Linked DNA regions of Arabidopsis thaliana. The protein of the gene in region 2 purifies or fractionates together with the protein of the main gene of each other region. This does not show direct contact. Each region holds a gene or a part of one and is shown on either strand. Other genes may lie near its edges.

Region 1 (4,729 bases), 5.7 Mb from region 2:
TTACAACAGAGCCAAGGGAACTCTTTACGATGGCGAAACTCGTCTCTTTTTGCGACATGATGGTAAATTTGAAGACTTTTTAAACATCAGGTGGCATATTAGGAGAACTGTGATTGTTTTACCTAATTACATTTCTTAATTTCTGGCAGATTCACCAGTGTATATGTATAGTATGGGAGGGATGGCTGAGTACTGTGTTACACCAGCTCATGGTTTAGCTCCTCTACCAGAGTCTTTGCCCTACTCTGAATCTGCCATTCTGGGATGTGCTGTTTTTACAGCATATGGTGCTATGGCTCATGCTGCTGAGATCCGTCCTGGAGATTCTATTGCAGTTATTGGAATTGGTGGTGTGGGCTCCAGGTATGTTAAATGTGTGGCATTTTCTTTTCTTTACCGGATTTGGGTTTTATTGCTTCTTGTATGACCATAACCATCTTTGAGTTGTTGCTTCAGTTGTTTGCAGATCGCAAGGGCTTTTGGAGCCTCGGATATCATTGCTGTGGATGTTCAGGATGATAAATTACAGAAGGCCAAGACACTTGGTGCTACTCATATTGTCAATGCTGCTAAAGAAGATGCTGTTGAAAGGATAAGAGTATGGTTGATTCAAGACCTCTTATTTGTGAAGATGAACCATTGATTGATATAAATATGAAAAACTGTTTCTTCTTCGTAGGAAATAACCGGTGGGATGGGTGTTGATGTTGCTGTTGAAGCCTTGGGAAAGCCTCAAACTTTCATGCAGTGCACACTAAGTGTGAAAGATGGTGGAAAAGCTGTGATGATTGGACTCTCACAAGCTGGTTCCGTTGGAGAAATTGACATAAATCGACTTGTTCGTAGAAAGGTTTGGGGTTCTTACTCTCTCTCTCTCGGCCTTGTTAGAAGAAAGTCTCTGGTACTGAGATTGTCTTTTAAGATCATGATATTGAATCTCTTTTTGTTCTGTTTTTCCAATTTTTTGTGAAGATAAAAGTTATAGGATCTTATGGAGGAAGAGCAAGACAGGATCTTCCTAAAGTAGTGAAATTGGCAGAGTCAGGGATTTTCAATCTCACAAACGCAGTCTCAAGTAAATACAAGTTTGAAGATGCAGGAAAAGCATTTCAAGATCTCAACGAAGGCAAAATCGTGAGCCGAGGTGTTGTTGAGATACTATAACCAATATAGCCTTTTGATTCTGGTTTGTGAATGACTGCTTCACACCTGTTTCACTGAGGTCTATTTTTAGTTGCTACAATCTTCAGACAAGGTCATTGTTAATCTGATATTTGTGTTTGTTTAGACAGTGAAAAGGAAAAAAAAAAACTGTAGTAACTGGACAAAATTTATAATTTTACTGTTTTTCATTTCTTTCCAACATTTATTGTTTTTCTATACTGTTAATATTTTTAATTTCTTCCCTCTTTTCACAATTTTCTACTTTCTAAGAATATTAATAACTGACATATATATAAAAAAACACAATTTATTTCTCTTTTGATAAAATTATCTATAAATCATTAAATCTTTGATGAGAAATATCCAATCTACTAATGTATATCGATGATTTAAATGAAATTACTTATTTGAACACAAAAATAAATGAATTTACTAATAAATAAATAGCGTAGTTGGAGCAAGTGGCTAAAAAAATTACAAATCTAGTTTCCATTCTCAGCGTCGGCTGCTTGGAACGTCACCGTTTTCTGGAAAACGCAATCTTCTCCCTTCCGTGACGTCTCACCGGAATTTTCTCGCTTTTGTCTACTCTCCTCCATCTCCGAGGTTCTCCAAGCTCAGCTCCTCTTCCCATCATTCATCCGACCGCCTTATCCGGTCAGATCCTTTACGTATTTCTATTTTCCTGATCGTCGATTTTTGAGAAATGTAAAAACAGATCGTATAAGGCCTCGAAGTTTTTAATTTGAAAGTGGTATCGAAATTTTTTGGTCTTTGATTAGGTTAGGGCACCGTAGCTCTGGGTATTGAATTTGTAGGGTTTTCCTCTGGTTATTGGTCTTTGGAGCTTGGTAATTTCTGCTGAATTGATTGATCCCTTTTCCATCTTTTGAAGTAAAGTCTCGAGCTTTCGTGTCTCGATGTAGATGAATTCTATTTTGAATATGAGATTTGATAAGACGTCAATTGCTGATAATTTGGAGTCTTTGTGTCTGAATTTGTTCATATGAAGTTTTCTGAGGGATGTGAATTTTATTGTCTGCTAATTTTGAAACGTTCCTTTTGGAATTTGGTTTGTGAGGAGTCCTAGATCTTTTTCTGTGAAGTTTCTTGCTTGTAAGTTTTCTGGATCACTTGATTGAGTCTAGAATCTAGATAGATTACATGTACGGTTTGATTCCTTTGGCTGATTTTCCAAAGTTTTGTTCAAATTTCAGGAGAACTACAAAGAGGAAACCAAGATTGTTTTGTTTTGTTAGACTCTACCCCTTTTCCGATTCACATGGTAAGGACATTGAGGTAGAGAATAATACTAAAAAGCAATGGGAGATGGGAGTTCCAGTAGATCCAACAGCTCAAACAGCACTAGTGAGAAACCAGAGTGGCTGCAACAGTACAATCTCGTTGGTAAGATTGGTGAAGGCACTTATGGTCTTGTTTTCTTGGCTAGAACCAAGACTCCGCCTAAAAGACCTATTGCTATCAAGAAGTTTAAGCAGTCCAAAGATGGAGATGGAGTTTCCCCGACTGCTATCCGCGAGATCATGTTGCTTAGAGAGATTTCCCATGAGAACGTCGTGAAGCTTGTGAATGTCCACATCAATTTTGCAGACATGTCTCTGTATCTTGCCTTTGATTATGCCGAGTACGATCTCTATGAAATCATCAGGCACCACAGAGACAAAGTCGGCCATTCGTTAAACACATACACAGTTAAGTCTTTGCTCTGGCAGCTTCTCAACGGATTGAACTATCTTCACAGTAATTGGATTATACACAGAGATTTGAAACCGTCGAATATCTTGGTTATGGGTGATGCAGAAGAGCACGGAATAGTGAAAATAGCTGATTTCGGGCTCGCAAGGATATATCAAGCTCCGTTGAAACCACTATCGGATAACGGAGTTGTGGTCACAATCTGGTACCGAGCACCAGAGCTGCTTCTTGGTTCGAAGCACTACACGAGCGCTGTTGATATGTGGGCAGTTGGGTGTATATTCGCGGAGTTACTAACTCTTAAACCGTTGTTTCAAGGAGCAGAAGCGAAATCGTCTCAAAACCCTTTCCAGTTAGATCAACTTGACAAGATATTCAAGATCTTAGGCCACCCGACGATGGATAAATGGCCAACACTAGTTAACCTTCCACACTGGCAAAATGATGTTCAACACATTCAAGCTCACAAATACGACAGTGTGGGTCTCCACAACGTGGTTCACCTGAATCAGAAAAGTCCTGCGTATGATCTGTTATCCAAAATGCTGGAATATGATCCTCTAAAGCGGATCACGGCTTCACAAGCACTAGAACACGAGTATTTCCGAATGGATCCTCTCCCAGGACGGAACGCATTTGTAGCCAGCCAACCGATGGAGAAGAATGTGAATTACCCAACTCGTCCAGTAGATACAAACACCGATTTCGAAGGCACGACAAGCATCAATCCGCCTCAAGCAGTAGCAGCAGGAAACGTAGCAGGGAACATGGCAGGAGCTCATGGAATGGGCAGTAGATCGATGCCAAGACCAATGGTTGCACATAACATGCAGAGGATGCAGCAATCTCAAGGCATGATGGCTTATAATTTCCCGGCACAGGCAGGGCTTAACCCGAGTGTTCCGCTGCAGCAGCAGCGCGGGATGGCTCAACCGCACCAGCAGCAACAGCTAAGAAGGAAAGATCCCGGAATGGGTATGTCAGGTTACGCACCTCCTAACAAATCCAGACGCCTCTAAAGGTAAAATCGAGATCATCAGTCTCGGGTTAGAATCTGTGTGTTTGCCGCAGAAGAAAGCGTTGCGATTTGCTTTATAGAGTAGAGTTAGATTGTAATGCAGCATGTGGAATGTTGCTATTCATATGGATGGATTGGATTCTCTGTAGTTTTTGTATAAACATCCTCTCAAGTATTTGTTAATTATATTAGATCATCATTTCTCTTAACATCATTTCTCAAAACGTAGTAAATAGGAGATTTGCCAAGTGAAAAATATATATAATGAGACAGTTATTATGAACACAATTTACAGTTATTATGAACACAATTTTGGTGATGTTTCTACTGTTTATGAAATTTGTTTTTTTTTTACCTGCCAGTCTTATCTATTTACCACCAACATACATTAGAATCTAATGTAATTACATCATCAATCATAGACCTAATGAATATTTAATACCACACAGTTTAAACATTGCTATTAAAGTTTGAAAAGATTATACTTTAGTAAAATAATGTTTTCAAACTTGTATTCAATTATACTACGTAAGCAGTGATCCAATTATTACGAACATAATACTTTTCCAAATCAAAATTTTGTTTTTGTTCACCTTACCATCAGTTTCATAATAGAAATATTATATATATACAACACAAACAAATGAATGAGAAATGTTTTTCTATTATTATGACTTTTATTTAAGATTCAAAAGAACGAAGAAGAGTTATATATATGCTTGTTTGTTTCAGGACAAATACAATAAATAAGTGGATAAGAAAACCACAAACCTTGAACTAGCCTGAAATGTGTGAACCAAGCTATACAAACTGTACGTGATTCTGCATCGT
Region 2 (4,511 bases):
CACAAAGAATCACAATTACAACTAGTAAAAAGGAGAAGAAACCCCATAATTGAAAAAACATACAGTAAGTGGGTCAACAACACGTTTGGTTGCAGCAGTAGAATCCATTGTATCGCCAACTTCCAGAGAATAAACAACACCTGTAATTCATAGAAGACTGTCAAAACTCAGAATCAATGTAAATCACAGAACAACCCAAGAATCATGTAAAAAACAGAAAATCTCTAAATCTCACACACAACTTTCCAAAATCGTTTCCGTAGAAAACGTAATTCATGAACTACACATAGTGACTCGATAAACACTTAACAAGCAAGAAAACGAACTAAGAGGCAACAACAAAATCAACTTCACAAAAGCAACCCAAAATCGTTTCATGAAATAAACACAGAAACAACTTCGAGAAAAGCACAAACTAGCTAAGAAACCAACGAAATCTACTTCACATTTCACTCCGAAACAGTGTAGATCACATTTTTCCGGCGAAATCGTGACATTAAACTGACGGAAGAGAAATAGTAGAAGAAGATTCACCTGAAATTAGTGAAATTGGAGCTTCGATTGAAGTCTGGGACCAACAATGGCGGGACCTAGGGTTTGATCGCTAGAAGGAAGGCCAAGTGTACGGAGAAAGCGAAAAGGCAACGGAAGAGGACTTTGTGGGGACTGTGAAGAAGATGTTTATATAGACGGGGAGAGAGTGTGTGTGTTGACGACTTTTTTATTGCCTTTTTGACTCTCACGTGTCAAACATGGTCCGTTGCACTTCCTCACCTTTCTTCAACAGATTTTATTCTCCACTAACTTTAATATTACTTACCTTTTATTAATGAGTACATTAGATTTTAACTTGGGTTAGCACATAATCCCAAAGAATTCTATAAGGTGAATTAGAGAATAATAACTCCTCTTGAATTGTTTTGATAGCGAAAAACCGGAATTAAATTTAGACACGGGATAATCGATACTCTTCTCGTGCGTTTTTTAGATTGTAGTCAACTTATTTGGCTTATTCCTTTGTCATGCGGTTTTTCTCGTGCGTTTTTAGATTGTAGTTTACCTATTTGGCTTGTACCAAATATTGAACGTGAGAAACATGTAGGGTGTTAATTTGAGTATGTATTAGTCTAAGTTTAGTTTGAATTTAGTATGTTTAAAGAAAAAAAGTTAGTTTTGATAAAGGAGTATGGGCTCAATAAAACAAATGAACATGTATATTAGGCAAACGAAAAATGTGTGGTGTTCTTCTGAAAATTCTTTTATGAACACCCAAACTTATGGTTAGAAGAAAATCACTGATCAAGCGTTTGAACAATACATGATACAAAAACTTGTGAGAGAAAAATATTCGGTGTGGCTGATGATATAAAGCTAGAATTTTTATAGCCTTAATCATGACGAAAAAAACCAAACTCAAATTTAATCCTTTTGAAACTGATTATACCTCGTCGAAATGATATATTCGGTCACTTCTTAGCTATTTATAAGATTTCAATTTTTATCATCTATATGTTCTGTTATTCAAAAAACAACGAACATGTTATATCAGAGTTAATACTTTCATTTGTTTGCCTATTGGGCCGATAATGGGCCGAGCCTTAAATTTAATTTCAGAAAAAAGCAACGATATGATAGATCATGAGACCACCAACCAAAGAGATTTGACAGATAACAGAAAAATGTTGAACTTATGAGCTAAAAAAGCTTCTCCTCCTTACCAAAGACTCGACGGTCTACCGGAAAAAATGGCTGCCAATTTCTGGAATTCATCTCACTAGTAAATGTTCTTTAAAACTTTACCCATCAAAATTCACTTCTTCTTCTCCTTCTAAGCAACTTCTAATTTCAATTTCTCGAATTTTTTTGTTTTGTTTTTGCGTTTGTACGAAACAGTAAACAGCTTTTGGATCCAGAAGAAGTCGACGTAGTTCATGATCTCGATAAAGAACGTGGAATCTCAATTGATGATTTTAAGCTCATCAAGTTCCATATGTCTAATCGTACGAAATCCTTTTTCTTCTTAATTCTTCGAATTCTCCTGCTTACTTAAGCAAATTTGTTGTCTCTGTTGCACTGGTTTGATTAGAGATTGATCAGAGAAGTTTTTTGAGTTTATGTCTCTTTGTTTCTTCATTTATTGTTGTTTTCAGATATTATGAAATTGGCTCAGCACATTAAAGTGAGGCAAAGGTTGGTTCTTTACAATTTGGGGGTCCAATTTTTGCTATATCAAAGAGATTCTACTGTTGCAGTACTTCCATTACTTTGTTTTGCTTCTGTAGATTTAACTAGCTCTAATATCTGGTGTAACCTGGACTTGTATATGAATCGTCGCCTTGGTTTTTCTACTTATGTAGGGTTGTAGCTACTGCAATTACGTATATGAGACGGGTTTATATCAGGTATGCAATGTATTTTTGATATGATCGTATACATCAATGTGCATCTTTGTGTATGTGAGGAATGAAATGAGTTAAATTCTTGTCATGCCAGTGTCTCTCTATGTTGCATCTCTGCTATCAAAAACGTTAACTGTGTTACGAAAGTTTTCAGTTTTGGTGTCTAATATCTTCCTTTTGTTACTATACTATCTCAGAAAGAGTATGGTAGAGTTTGAGCCTCGACTTGTTGCTCTTACGTGCTTGTACCTGGCATCTAAAGCTGAAGAAAGCATAGTGCAGGCCAGGAATCTTGTTTTTTACATCAAAAGATTGTGTAATATCTTCTTCTTCTGTTTTTTTATTTTTCAAATCATGAGAGTACCTCCCCTTCAATATGCTTTTTTTTGACATATCGACGACAACGGTTCTTATATCTTTGCAGATCCTGATGAGTACAACAAATATGAACTAAAGGATATATTAGGAATGGAGATGAAGGTGTTAGAAGCACTAGATTATTATCTGGTTGTGTTTCACCCTTACCGGTCATTATCGGAGTATGTCCACTCATCTCTCTTATCCGCTTTTCGGAAGCTTTGAACATGTTTGCCTTATTGTCTGTGGTTACAAACGGAGAAGTGTAAATGATGATACATGTAAAAACTTGCAGTCTTCCCATACAATGTTCTTGATGTTTCTCATTATATCAAAATTTTGGACCACCTTAATATTTCCTTGGTGAGAGTTTTGTGTGCCTTGATGGTCAGAAAATCAACACTCATTCTAATACTTCATTCTTTTGATTTCTAGGTTTTTGCAAGATGCTGCATTAAACGATGTAAATATGAACCAGATTACATGGTAAGTCCTTCTATATGAGATATATTGCATAGAACTCAATTCCTAGCTCCAACCTTAAAATCTAAGAGATCTCTGACCTGTATAAAAAGCATTTTGAAAACCTATTTTCCGTGTTTCAGGGGAATTGTTAATGATACTTATAAGATGGACCTCATTCTTGTACACCCTCCCTACCGCATAGCGCTAGCATGCATATACATAGCAAGTGTCCACAGAGAGAAAGATATCACTGCATGGTTTGAAGATCTTCATGAGGACATGAACTTGGTCAGTCATTCTTCTAAAAGTTATTCAATCATTAGTTAAAGCGAATAGCTATGATCTTTTGCGTGATTTTCGGTATTCTTTAGTGACTTTGAAAGCTCTACATGGGGCAATGGGTTGCAGGTAAAGAATATTGCCATGGAGATACTGGACTTCTATGAGAACTACAGAACAATCACAGAGGAAAAAGTGAATTCTGCCTTCAGCAAATTGGCTTTGAAGCTGTAGAGAATCACCTCCATCTCCAAGACTTATCGCACAGAAAAAAATGATTAGAGACTTCCACAATTGCCCATCCATCTAGCTTTGTGGCAAACATGTAACACTGTTATTACCAAACCTATTAATCTTAAAGTAAACATTATTGTTAATTGTTCATCATAATGGGTTTGTTTTCCCTTTTATTTTCTCCAAAACCTAAACCTCTCGTAGAAGCAAAAATGTGAAATAAAACAAAGGTCAAATTGATGAAGATGAGAAATATGAAAAAAAAAAAAAGATTTCATATAAGAATTTTAAAAACTTTTTTTGGTAAATAATTTTTTTTCTATCAAAAAAGATAAATACTGAATTATTACTTTTTTTGTTTTGTATTTTTCCTTGGTGGTCTTTATGCTCTCATTATCCACACCATAAAAATAAAAAGCTTGTATTTTTGAAGTTGAAGGATCAAAGAAGCTATGGCTTCCAATTTCTGGACTTCGACGCACTAGTAAGTTTCAATCAATGATTAAAGATCGTCTTTTTTTAATTCAATTTCCATGTTCCTGATTGATTCGTTTTGTGGGTTTTATTTTCACAGCAAAGAGCTTAAGGACCCAGAAGAGGTTAATGTTGTTCATCCTCTTGATGCTCAGAGAGGAATCTCTGTTGAAGATTTCAGACTCATTAAGCTTCATATGTCTAATTGTATGTTTTCATTGGATTTGATTACCTTGTTAATTAATTTCCAGATTGGATTTAACATCTCTAATGTCATGAATCATGTTTTTCGTGTTTTCCTTG

What was found.
Region 1: the proteins of AT5G48640 (region 2) and CDKE;1 purify together in Arabidopsis thaliana (affinity purification with western blotting, with the first as the bait; one study listed by BioGRID). This does not show direct contact.

Annotation. Positions count from the first base shown.
Region 1 is NC_003076.8:25,462,815-25,467,543, reverse strand, and holds CDKE;1 (cyclin-dependent kinase E;1), read left to right. Parts: upstream 1-1,621; 5' UTR 1,622-1,821; intron 1,822-2,381; 5' UTR 2,382-2,486; coding exon 2,487-3,899; 3' UTR 3,900-4,182; downstream 4,183-4,729. Other genes in the region: AT5G63620 (GroES-like zinc-binding alcohol dehydrogenase family protein), read left to right, coding at 1-62, 150-363, 457-598, 680-857, 980-1,164. UniProt on the Arabidopsis thaliana protein: Involved in cell differentiation. Required for the specification of stamen and carpel identities and for the proper termination of stem cells in the floral meristem.
Region 2 is NC_003076.8:19,722,876-19,727,386, reverse strand, and holds AT5G48640 (Cyclin family protein), read left to right. Parts: upstream 1-1,638; 5' UTR 1,639-1,745; coding exon 1,746-1,777; intron 1,778-1,893; coding exon 1,894-2,000; exon of another isoform or gene 2,001-2,150; coding exon 2,151-2,190; exon of another isoform or gene 2,191-2,357; coding exon 2,358-2,402; intron 2,403-2,596; coding exon 2,597-2,715; intron 2,716-2,823; coding exon 2,824-2,938; intron 2,939-3,191; coding exon 3,192-3,242; intron 3,243-3,361; coding exon 3,362-3,509; intron 3,510-3,629; coding exon 3,630-3,734; 3' UTR 3,735-3,983; downstream 3,984-4,511. Other genes in the region: AT5G48650 (Nuclear transport factor 2 (NTF2) family protein with RNA binding (RRM-RBD-RNP motifs) domain-containing protein), read right to left, coding at 64-108; AT5G48630 (Cyclin family protein), read left to right, coding at 4,268-4,415.